3 linked regions of the Notamacropus eugenii genome follow. Each later gene encodes a partner of the first gene's protein in a complex. Links are inferred from orthologs where the notes say so. Each region holds a gene or a part of one and is shown in the gene's direction. Other genes may lie near its edges. The genes, in order: TREX1, ANP32A and nucleoside diphosphate kinase A.

Region 1 (3,421 bases):
GAGCTGGGCCCTGAACCTAGGTTTCCTGCCTTCTGACCTGTTCTTCCCATTCAGGCTCAGAGTGCTGCGCAAATCTCATGATACGTACACATTAAACACAAGAAGTCCATCCCCCCACAAAGACACTTGGTGCCCCCCTATTTGTGCTGTAGAGCATCTCCAGACCAAGTTGAGGTTTCTACTTGTATCAAAAGTAATGCACTACATCCTCCCCATGTAGCCTGTCTCCACTTTGCCCTTCCCTGGATAGAAAGAACATGCCAGGGCCCAAGAAAAGTTGATGGTCCAGCAAGACACCTGTGTACTCTATGAGTAGGTCACACCTTCCTCCTGTCTTCACCACAACCATTCCCCCACCCCACATGTAAATGCACTGCCCATTAGAAGTCCAGTGAGCTTTGGGAAACAACTATAATTCCTAAGTGGGTCCCACCTTGATTTCCTGGAATTCCCAAGGAAGCCCGCTCTAGACTGGATGCCAGTTCTCTGGTGCCCTGGGCAGATGCTGGGAACGCTGCCAGTCATCACGGTCAGGCACTGCACCAATCTTCATTCCCCAACAGAGCAACGCTGTGCCAGAGACATTCCTGGGAGATAGGGCTCGTGCCGGGTTGGGGCAGGTCCCAGGGCCCAGAAGGACCTTATTCTGCCAAGCTCTGGGCCCTCGGTCTCCAGACGGGTCCTGCCATCCCAGAGCCCCGGAAGCCTGGCTGGGAAGAGCCGCTCTCCCGGTGCCCGCCGGCTGATAGACAGGCTCTCCTCCAGGTTGGGAGGGGCTGGGGGCGGGTCCGCGCCCCGTTGTGGGTGCTGGGGGGCGGAGCATGGGCGGGGCTCGGCCCCAGCTGGAGGGTGCGCTTTCGTTTCCCCCAAGCCGATCCTGGCGAACTAGAACTTCCCCGAAGTCCCAGCCTGCCCGTGGTGCCCAGTCCTCTCCTCCGATCCGGCCGGTGAGTAGATCACGGGCCCCGCAGGTACATCCCGGGGAGGGGAGCCCGGTGAGGCTCCGGGATGGAAACCTGGCCCATGCTGGCGTGGGGAGGAGGAGCCCGGGCGGGGCCGGAGCCAGGGAGGACGCTCGGCGATTCCACTGCAGAGCCGTGCCCTCGGGGAGGGCACGAGGTGCCCCAGAAGGCCCTTCCAGCCCTAGAGCCCCCGGGATCCTGGGCTCCCCCGGCCCCAGATCCCTGCCCCCCAAGCTGGGCCCGGCCTGGCTGGCAGCTGAAGCCACGCCCAGCAATCCGGGCCTCGGTCTGAGTCAGCCCCCCACCCCCGCCCTGGCTTGGGGGCCCCCCACCCCGCCCTGGCTCGGGGGCCCCCCCACCCCGCCCTGGCTCGGGGGCCCCACTGCCTCCCTGGGCCCCCTGCCTCGCTGCCCTGGCCCTTACTGGCCCCGCGGCTCTGTCTTCTAGGAGTCCCCCTGAGGTAGATCCCCCCCACGCCCCAGATCCGTGAATTGCGGGCCCCATGTGGCTGGCTCTCCACCTCCACCCCCAGCCCCCACCCCCGGCCCAGGAGCTCCGGAGCCGGCTCTCTCCCTCCGTGTTCCCCACGTCCCCCAAATCCGGGCTTTGCGCTTCCAGCCGCGCAGCTCCTCGCCTCGCCTTCCCAGACCCACGAGGGGCATGCACCTCCATGGCCGCCTCCACCTTTGCTCCCTGCGCCCCACCACCCCGGCTCCGCGCCCCTCGGGCCTCTCCATTCCCCTTCCCCTTCCCTCACTGTCTTCCCAGGTCCATGGGTTTGGAAGCTGCCTCCTCTAGGCCCATGGAGACGCTTGTCTTCATGGACCTAGAAGCTACGGGACTGCCATTCTCTCAGCCCAAGGTCACGGAGCTGTGCCTGGTGGCCGTCCACAGACACGCCTTAGAGGGGCCCCCAGCTGCACCTCCCGCAGGGGGCTCTTCCCAGGTGCCACAGCCACCCCGGGTGGCCGACAAGCTCTGCGTGTGCGTGGCACCGGGAAAGGCTTGTAGCTCCGCAGCCAGCCACCTCACCGGCCTGAACACGGCCATGCTGACTGCCCACCGAAGGCGAGGCTTCGACTCCGGCCTCGTTGACCTGGTCCAGGCCTTCCTTCAGCGACAGCCACCCCCTGTGTGCCTTGTGGCCCACAACGGAGACCGCTTTGACTTCCCCCTGCTGCAAGCTGAGCTGAGCTGGGCCCGGCGCGATGCCCTGAGGGGTGTCTTCTGCGTGGACAGCATTGCCGCCCTGAGAGCCCTGGACCGCTCTGGGCCATCCCGTGAGTCCAGCCAAAGGAAGAGTTACAGTTTGGGTAACGTGTACAGCCGCCTGTACGGCCAGGCCCCACCGGACACCCACACAGCTGAGGGTGACGTCCTTGCCCTGGTCAGCATCTGCCAGGCCAGGCCCCAGCCACTGCTGCACTGGATTGACACGCATGCCAGACCTTTCAGCAGCGTCAAACCCATGTACGAAGCCGGAGCTGGGACGGACCAGGGAGCTGCCTGTGATACAGAGACAAAGACTGAACGCCAGAAGGTTCGAGCGGCCACCAAGCTGGCCACATCAGGGGATACCAGCCCAGCTGGCAGGAAGAGGAGACCTAGATCAGAGGCTCCCTCCCGCTCGGGGAGTATCCCTGCGACCTCATGTTTGAACACATTCCATCTGCTGGCAACGTTAGTCCCCCTGGTTGTCTTAACCTTGGCAGTAGCTCTGTACTGGGTACCCTGGTCATTCTAACCATGTCATTCACATTGTCCTGGGTACCCCTTGATCTCATCCAGACTTTGGGTGGGGGATGTGCTGTTATTGTCAGGTCCTCCAAAGGAAAGGCTGATGGATATGTTGTAAGACAAACTTATAAATAAAGATTACACTTGGCCTGGACGGTAGGAACCCAAGGGGCCTCATCCAGCAGCTTGTCTGGCCTGTCTTTGTGGTAGCCCACCTTCCAAAGTCTATTGGATGGGGATGACCAACTAGACACACCCTTCCGGGCAAGGTGGAATTGGGAGAATTATATTTAGTAAATCTAAAGAGGGAAGTGAGAAGGATCTGGTTACCTCTCAGGCCAGGACCAAAGCCCTCCCACCAGTTGTCCTACACAGGGGCTCAACATGGAGCAAACTCCAAGCTTTATTTAGTTTCAGTCTGAGGGGACACATCTGGCCTCAGAGCCGCCATCTGAAGGCAGAGAGAATTTAGCTTTCAGAGATCTCCTGATCTCTAGGGGGCAAATTACAGGGCCCTCCAAATCTAATCTGACCACAGGTGACAAGTCACAGGGCTAATCTGGAAATCAAGAACCCTCCCTGAGAGAGGCCCCCAATCTAAGCGAACCAACCTAATATCATTCCCAGTGACTGGGACCCAAAAGCTCCTTTAAATCCTGATACCCCACCACCACCTTTGAAGTTACTGAAGAACAGTCATTTTCAAATCCATAGGTTTATTA
Region 2 (3,749 bases), about 120 Mb from region 1:
CTCCTCCAAACCTCGGTTTGACTTTTGAATCCAAGATTTGTTTTGTGCCCATGCTGTCATAACGCAGTTGTGTACACTCTATTTGCGTGTTTTATGGTTTGTTAGACGAGGGGGGCTGCTCATCGAAAGGGAGAATTACCATAAATATTTTGGTTATGTTTTCACATCACATCTTTGGATAACTGCTCTAAGGGTTAGGGCATGGGGGAAGGGGGGTGCCGCGTGTAGTCTACACGGAGACTGGTCTGGCCACCTACTTTAACGACCCCCACCCAGCCACAGATAAGACCTAGAGCTACGTTCCCTGGTGGGGGGGAGGGGCCGAGGACAGCGTTGGGCGATGATGTGGATCAAGGAGTGGGTTCTAAAAACATGCTTAACCAAATGGAAGAGAGATTGGGGAGCGAATAGAACCCGCTCTTTAAACTTCACAAAGTCTTCGTGTCTTATGTTGAGGGGGGAGGGGAATACGACGCGCATACTAAACGATATTTCACACGCGTCCTCCCTCCCCCCACCCCGTACCCTTCGTATCCTTTTTTCCCCAGATCCCCGCTTCACTCCAGTGGGGAGTGGTTGGGCATTAGTGGGGGAGGAGGGGGGCAGTTTGCTTGTTGTTTGCTAAGAAAACAGGGTAATAAGAGACAAAGGGGGTTGGGAAGGAGAGGAGAGAATTGGGTGCGTGTATTTTTGTTTTCTTTCCGAAAGGATTCGAGAGAGCGCCCCCAGCGCCCCCCCAAACCTCCCCTTCCCCTAGCCCCCCGTACACACCTCCAAATCCTTTCTCAACTTTGTCCCGGGGGCTGGCAACACCGCGTTGAAGCTGAAATAGGACGAGCAGCCATTTTTTCCTGGGTTTCTCCCGTCCCGCCCCCCCCTCCCCCATCGAGCTGCAAAAGAAAAATGCTGGGTTTGAAATGAAGGCGACTGTCTCCATGAGGATTTGGGCGATATTCGGGGCGGGAGATGTGGGACAAGGGTGTGCGTATGTGTCTTAGGGTGGGTGGCGGAGCGAGATGGTTGCCAGCCTTTAAAAATAGTCAATATCCTTTCTCCGGGGCAGCTCGGGAGCCCGGGGGGTTCGAACGGCTCGCACCCCTCTCCTCCCCCGCTCTGAGGTTAAGAAGAGAGGTATACTTTCTGGTTATTGGGGGGAGGTGGGAGAAGGTTGCTCCGGAATTGCAGCGAAGGCTCTAGGGGCGCTTTCACTGCGCTCTGCGTGTGTGTGTAACATGACTGCCAGCGCAGAGAGCTGCCATTTTGTCACTGTGGCTGTTGTCACTGGGGAGAAAATAAAGGGAAAATGCTAAGTCTTGCGCCATCTCCGAAAGCGCACCACAGGACTAGTTTCCAAACGAACTGGCTGATAGTAGAGTGACCGATCAAGAGCTTGGCTGCCTCTGCCTGGTCTTTTTGGGGCCGGAGAGGGTGAAGGAGGAGCCCATATTTCGTGGTTTCTCCGCAGGGACGTCTCCCGCTCCCTTGGAATCGCCCGGTATCTTTAAATGGAATGTCCTGTGTCTTTAAATGGAACGTTGTTGTTGTCCATGTTCTTTGGAGTAGTAACATTGAAAGGATTGAATTTTCTGTGTAGACGGCCACACCGAATCAGGTTCTCTTCCTTCCGAGGTCCTTTCCCTACCCCAATATTTTGCTCTCCTCCTATATTTTTCTCACCCTGAACCTCGGAGTTAACTTTTACATTAATATTGCTTCTTTAGAAAAAAACAAAACCTGACATTATTATTTCACTGGAATTGACCAAAGGTGGGGCAAACACGATCTTTTTCTTTCTTTTTTGGGGGGTGGGGTGGGGTGGGGGGAGACGTGAAATGCACAAGACTTTTGATCTCTGATGCCCGCAGCAGCAGCAGCAGCAGCCGCTTCCTACGGGAGGGAACGAATTATTGATGAGTTGGGAAAACGCCTTCCTGGGCTGGGCTCTCCGGGAAGGTAGGTCGCGTTCTTTCTGTTTCTAGTATGTTATAACAGCGCCTCCGCTGGCTGTCAGCGTTTAGTGAAAGTCCTGGAGTCCTCCCTCCCTCCGCCCCTCCTTTTGCTTTGGAGGAGATTAAGGTTATGAATATTTCTCTTAAACTAAAAGGAAATAGGATATTTTTTAAAAGCAGACAAAATCCTTATATTAATAGGTCTTCCTCTTGTTTATTTTCACAGAGCAAAATTAGTGTTGACTGCTCTTGAGTTGAGGCACTTTTCAAACGGCAGCATTCTTTTTGGAAGGAAGGCTCTTCTGTGAGGCTTGACTAGCCAAACATCTTACAGGTTAAAATATCTGAGTTGCAACTACCTGTTGCCAGATCCTTTGGTTGTGAGTGAATGAGCTTTCTTGGGAACACATAAATCTAGGGCTATGCAGTTCTCCTATTGACATCAAATGAGAGGAGTCCCCTTTTGCAATAATGAAAGAAAACTATTATTAGGCTGTAGAATACATCATAGGATGGTTTTATAGCAATCTTAGTTACCTAGTTATATTTCATCTGGGCTGATGATTATATTCCCGGAATATTTAGAAGCTTTGGGACCCAGGATTCTTAAGATCATTGGAAGTTTTGAAGGGTGGGTTGGGAACAAAGCAGATATGAAATATTGCCATAGACAATTGGAGATTGACTCTATAAACATAGACACACTTATTTGTTTTATTTTTATAGTGATGAAAGGAATAGATGGTATTTATAGGGGAAAGGTGACAAGATTCTCTCTATATATACATATATCCTGAAGGTCTGAAATTTAGTGGAAAAAAAAACCCAGGAAAATATTACTAGTTAACTTGCATTGGGAGAAGCCCTCTTGTATATTTTTGAGGGAAATGAGTTTGGTTAAGTTTATGATTTTCTGGATGTAACAGTACTTTCAATTAAGTGGCTAACTGATCCAGATTCTTCAAAGCAGAAGCAGTCACTGACTTCAGTCTCCTTCCAGTACTTCTTCATTCTCCCACTACAGTACAGGTGCATTGATACTTCAGAATAAAAGCTCTGTGGGGTTTGGCATCCAGAAAAAGCCTAGGAATAGCTCTTGGGCAATACCTTTTTAATGAAGATTTGAGCATAGCGTATATGGGGTAGGAAAAAGTATGTATTCTGACAAATTCAATCAGTAAGCACGTAGTAAGTGCCTGCTGTGGGTAGGCAGAGGGCATACAAAGACAAAAGTGAAACAGTCCCTGCTCTCAAGGGGTTGTGTTTTTTATGTAAATTTCTTATGTAAATTGCCTGTATAGCACCTTAATAAATGATTGTTGAATTGCCACCTAACCTAGGCAGGACTTTCCCCTTCTCTTCTAACCTTCCTTAGAAAGGTTTCTTTTTCATCTCTGATGGTCTTATTTGGGTGCAGGTGAGGGGAAATGCCTACAGTAATTTAGCTGGTAGCTATCTGGGATTTCTACTGAGTAAGCCTTCAAGATCCACGGATCAATTCTTATTGACTCCTTTTGGAGGCATGACCTAAGCCACTGAAGACTGATAATCTGTGCCAATACTTAAAGAATCTCTGGAGGAGCCACCACCACTTTAGGCCTAAATCAGGTCAACAAGTCAACAAGCATTTATTAAACACCTACTTTTGCCAGCACTGTGTTAAGTATTGGGCATACCAAAAACAACAAAAAATACATAGGACTCCTTCCCATTGCCCATCACCCCCATTAAAAAAAAATATTTTCTAAAGGAGCTCACAATCTAATGGAGAAGACAGTTTGCAAATGACTATGTACAAAC
Region 3 (3,749 bases), on another chromosome or scaffold:
ATGATTTTCTATCTCTAATATGTGCCTTTCATTGAGGCCTCTGCCTTATGGAATACCTAGCTTCTATAAAGGCTCAGCTTGTTTTACCACAGGAGATTTTTCCTAATCTTCCCTGGATGTCAGTGTCTCTTCCCCAACTCCTTCTTCCTCCAATTGCTTTTTCTTTAACTTTGTACATATTTTACATTTTCTTCTGTGTACATTTTGTTTCCCATGATGGGAAGTAAGCTAGGGAACAGGCAGTTTAATCATTTAAGTCTTTTCATCCCCAGCAGTTGGCAAACAGTAGGCACATAATAAATGCTTGAATCGACTCACATACAATTACACAGAGAAGTAAATAATTTCAAGAGTGTTTCTTTGACGAAAAGGAAGGCGTGGATGAGGTGAGATGTGTATTTGATACACAGAAGACAGCCTGTGCAAAGGCACCAAGAGCAGGGATGGAATCCCACGTTTGGGGGAACAGTCAGCAATCTACTTATCCAGCACCAACATGTCTTCGTTGTTGTTGGGTCCTGTTGCACTCCTCATAACCCCCTTGACCACCTGTCCATGAGGGCTGCTTGGCAAGGATACTGGAGTAGTTTCCCACTTCCTTCTCCAGTTCTACGCAGGGAAGGGTTAAGTGACTGGCCCAGGGTCATACAGCTTGGGTCTGACGTTGATTTGGAACCCAGTGCTCTCCCCACTGCACCAACATGGCAGGCACCTTCTTGGTTACGGAAGGTTCAATACAAAGAATGACGTAATCGCTACTTATAATTCAGCTATTAAAAGTGCAACAAGGCTTTTGGGCCATCGAGGGTACGTGTACAAATACGTACTAAGATACCTATTTCTCTAGCGCACAGACACAAGGCGTGTGGAGGAGGAGCAGGCAGAGGCGGCTCCGGGCAGACAAAGAACAGGCAGCCGCGGGAGTGGGGGTGGGGGAGGGGAAGGCCCCGGATGGGGCCGAGGAACATTACGGGCCAGGAAAGTGGGAGGGTGAAGCACGGAAGGTGCGGCCGGGACACCAAGTGCACGGTTGTAAGAGCGACTGCCGAGTTCCGGGCCAGGGATGGCGCCGTCGTGCGGGCCCTGGCAGGGTGAGGAGGGGAGGGCCTGTAGGGTGGAGCCAGGAAGACCGCAGGAAGGGAGAAAGCCACGATACTCGCCCCACCCTTCTCCTCATCTGGGCGGAACAGGAAAAAGCGGACTACACCGGAAGTAGTCATCCGCAGGAGAGCGTCGGGAAATGGTATCCTCTCTACGCAGACTACGCTAAGGGGGCGGGGAGTAAAGGAAAGCGTCCGGTGCTCGTCAGAATCGGCTCCCGGGATCCCTAGACTTAAGCGGAAGCGTTCCGCGCTCGGTTCGCAGAGGACCACGTGGCGCCGGGACAGCTTCTGGGCAGGTGGAACCAGGACGCGGGTACAGACTGCGGGTCCAGGTGAGGGGAGCTCCAGGGGCGCGGAAGTCAAGGGCTCGGGCAGCTTTTGTCGGCGGGGATTCCCGGGGAGCAATCTGAGCCCCAGCCCGGTTCCTCTCCGCTCTGTCCCCGCATTAGAGCCGCACAGCCCAAGTGTTGATCCCCGGAGAGGGCTGGGACTCGGGGATGTCCCTAAACCTGGGGCGTTGGGGTTCCCCTTGGGGTCGTAGGTTCGTGGGCCTGGAGCTGGATGGGATGGGGGGGTAGCTGACTCAGCATCGTCATTTTACGGATAGAGAAACTGAGGCGTACGGAGGCGAAGTGACCGGCCCAAGGTCCCATGGACCTCTACCTGCATCCCCTTCCCGGGATCCTTCTTCCCTTCTTTGCTAGTCACCATGTCAGCGTACACTTGGTTCCTTTTTTCCCTCTCTCTTTTAAGGTCCCTTTTACTTGTGAAATTGACAAGCACGAACACTTCCTTATACAGAGCACACAAAAAGGCTTGTGGGTCACACGCTGCCAAAATCTATTTAAAAATCTGGTATTTATATGGCTCTTTAAGATGCTGTACAAATATTTTGTCCTCACAGCGACCCTGGGAAGTAGGTGCTACTGTAGTCCCCATTTTACACATGAAGAAACTGAGGAACACAGGTTAAGTGACATGGCCCAGGATCACACTATTAAGCGTCTGAGGCAGCGTTGGAGCTCAGGCCTTTCTGGCTCCAGTTCCAATGCTTTCTCCGTTGGATCCCTTTGCTATTTTAAGTATGATTTAAAAAAATATATATATTGAATTTTACTCAGAAGGTCCATCATCACTGCTTCTCTTGCCTGTGTTTCATTCTGAACTTGCTTCTGCCTCTTCTCTGTGTTTTTAATGTCTGACACCCCCCCTTCCGCATTTTTGTATTACTGTTACTACCCTTTTAATTTTTTTCCCTGCTACACTCCAGGAAAGTAAAATAAGTAATGGTCGAGCAGAAAGGAACCATAAATTGACTGTCTGAAAATGTTTGTCTCACTCCGCACCTCACGTCTGGCTATTGTCTGCCCAGAGGTTGGATGAATGTGCTATCCCAAGTCTTTTGGAGTAATAATTAGTCATTGTATACTTATTCACACTTTTTTGTCCTTTACAACGTTGTTATCATCGGATACATTGTTCTCTTGGTGCAGCTCTCTTCATTTTGCGTCATTTTTACAATTATTCCCAGCTTTCTCTGAATCAGTTCCTTTTATCATTGCTTTTGCTATAATACTATTCCATTACCTTATACCGTAGTTTCTTCAGCCATTCCTCTTTTGATGGGCACCCAGTTTGTTTACAGTTCTATACAACAACCAAAAAGTGCTTCTATAAATATTTTGTGCACATGGGTCCTTCCCCTCTTTTATACATGTGTGTGTATATAGATATATATACATATATCTATATACACACACATACACATATACATACATATAGTCAAAAGGGTTTTAGATGACAACCTTTTCTTTTGCTCTAAGGGAAGGAGGGATAGATTGGGAAGAAGGAGACTCAAGTCCCAAAACTGACTGCTACCAGCTTGCTTTGTGATTTGGGACAAGTCACTTTGATTCTTTGGGCCTTGGTTTCCACATCAGTAAAATGCATGGTTTGAACTTGAACTCTGAGGTCTTCAATCTCTAAATGTTTATGAGAATTCTTAGAGTTATATAGAATAGGATCTATACCACAGGCTTTTCTTACATCATTAGATTTGGTAGATATGTAATTTCATCTGTTTCCCCCATCTCCCTCTTCTCCCATCATGCAGATAGCAAGGCTTAGGGGCTGAAAAATTCATCACCTGTTGGCTAGCCTCCTTGGTGAAGAGCTGTTGTACACTCAGCTACACTGATACCAAGGGGAAGTTAGATAATTAGCACCTGTACTCAAAGATATTCCAGCTTGGTTGGTCATGTCACAGCTTGCTTTCCCCAGGTGTAGCACCCAGGGTCACCTCTGCACCATGAGGCATCATCATAGGATTTGAATGGAGCACCACAAACTCACTTGTTTTGTACTACCTTGTATTGCCTTCTGGTTCAGTGTATGCTACTGTTGTCGCCTACAGATGAGTATAATTTAAGGTAGGGAGTGAAAGGGGAAAAGGATAGGTAGATTTGTCTGAGAAATCAAGGCAGGGATGATTTGTTGCTACTTTTATTTTCTTTCCCATAGTTATTACAGTTCCATTTTAAGCAGTAAATATTTGATAAACACATACTGAATTAAATAGGAAAAAAGTAGGATCCATGGGATTAGGAGAAATGTTTTACTTTTTAAAAATTGATATTAAAGTTAGAT

The links.
Region 2: TREX1 (region 1) and ANP32A share a complex: the UniProt entries of both Homo sapiens proteins name them as parts of the SET complex. The link is inferred for Notamacropus eugenii from reciprocal best matches to the Homo sapiens genes TREX1 and ANP32A.
Region 3: TREX1 (region 1) and nucleoside diphosphate kinase A share a complex: the UniProt entries of both Homo sapiens proteins name them as parts of the SET complex. The link is inferred for Notamacropus eugenii from reciprocal best matches to the Homo sapiens genes TREX1 and NME1.

The regions. Positions count from the first base shown.
Region 1 is NC_092872.1:14,519,156-14,522,576, reverse strand, and holds TREX1 (three-prime repair exonuclease 1), read left to right. Parts: upstream 1-827; 5' UTR 828-947; intron 948-1,730; 5' UTR 1,731-1,734; coding exon 1,735-2,706; 3' UTR 2,707-2,880; downstream 2,881-3,421. UniProt on the Homo sapiens protein: Major cellular 3'-to-5' DNA exonuclease which digests single-stranded DNA (ssDNA) and double-stranded DNA (dsDNA) with mismatched 3' termini. Prevents cell-intrinsic initiation of autoimmunity.
Region 2 is NC_092872.1:132,030,496-132,034,244, reverse strand, and holds the start of ANP32A (acidic leucine-rich nuclear phosphoprotein 32 family member A), read left to right. Parts: upstream 1-951; 5' UTR 952-966; coding exon 967-1,131; intron 1,132-3,749. UniProt on the Homo sapiens protein: Multifunctional protein that is involved in the regulation of many processes including tumor suppression, apoptosis, cell cycle progression or transcription. Promotes apoptosis by favouring the activation of caspase-9/CASP9 and allowing apoptosome formation.
Region 3 is NC_092873.1:361,375,413-361,379,161, forward strand, and holds the start of nucleoside diphosphate kinase A, read left to right. Parts: upstream 1-1,207; 5' UTR 1,208-1,435; intron 1,436-3,749. UniProt on the Homo sapiens protein: Major role in the synthesis of nucleoside triphosphates other than ATP. The ATP gamma phosphate is transferred to the NDP beta phosphate via a ping-pong mechanism, using a phosphorylated active-site intermediate.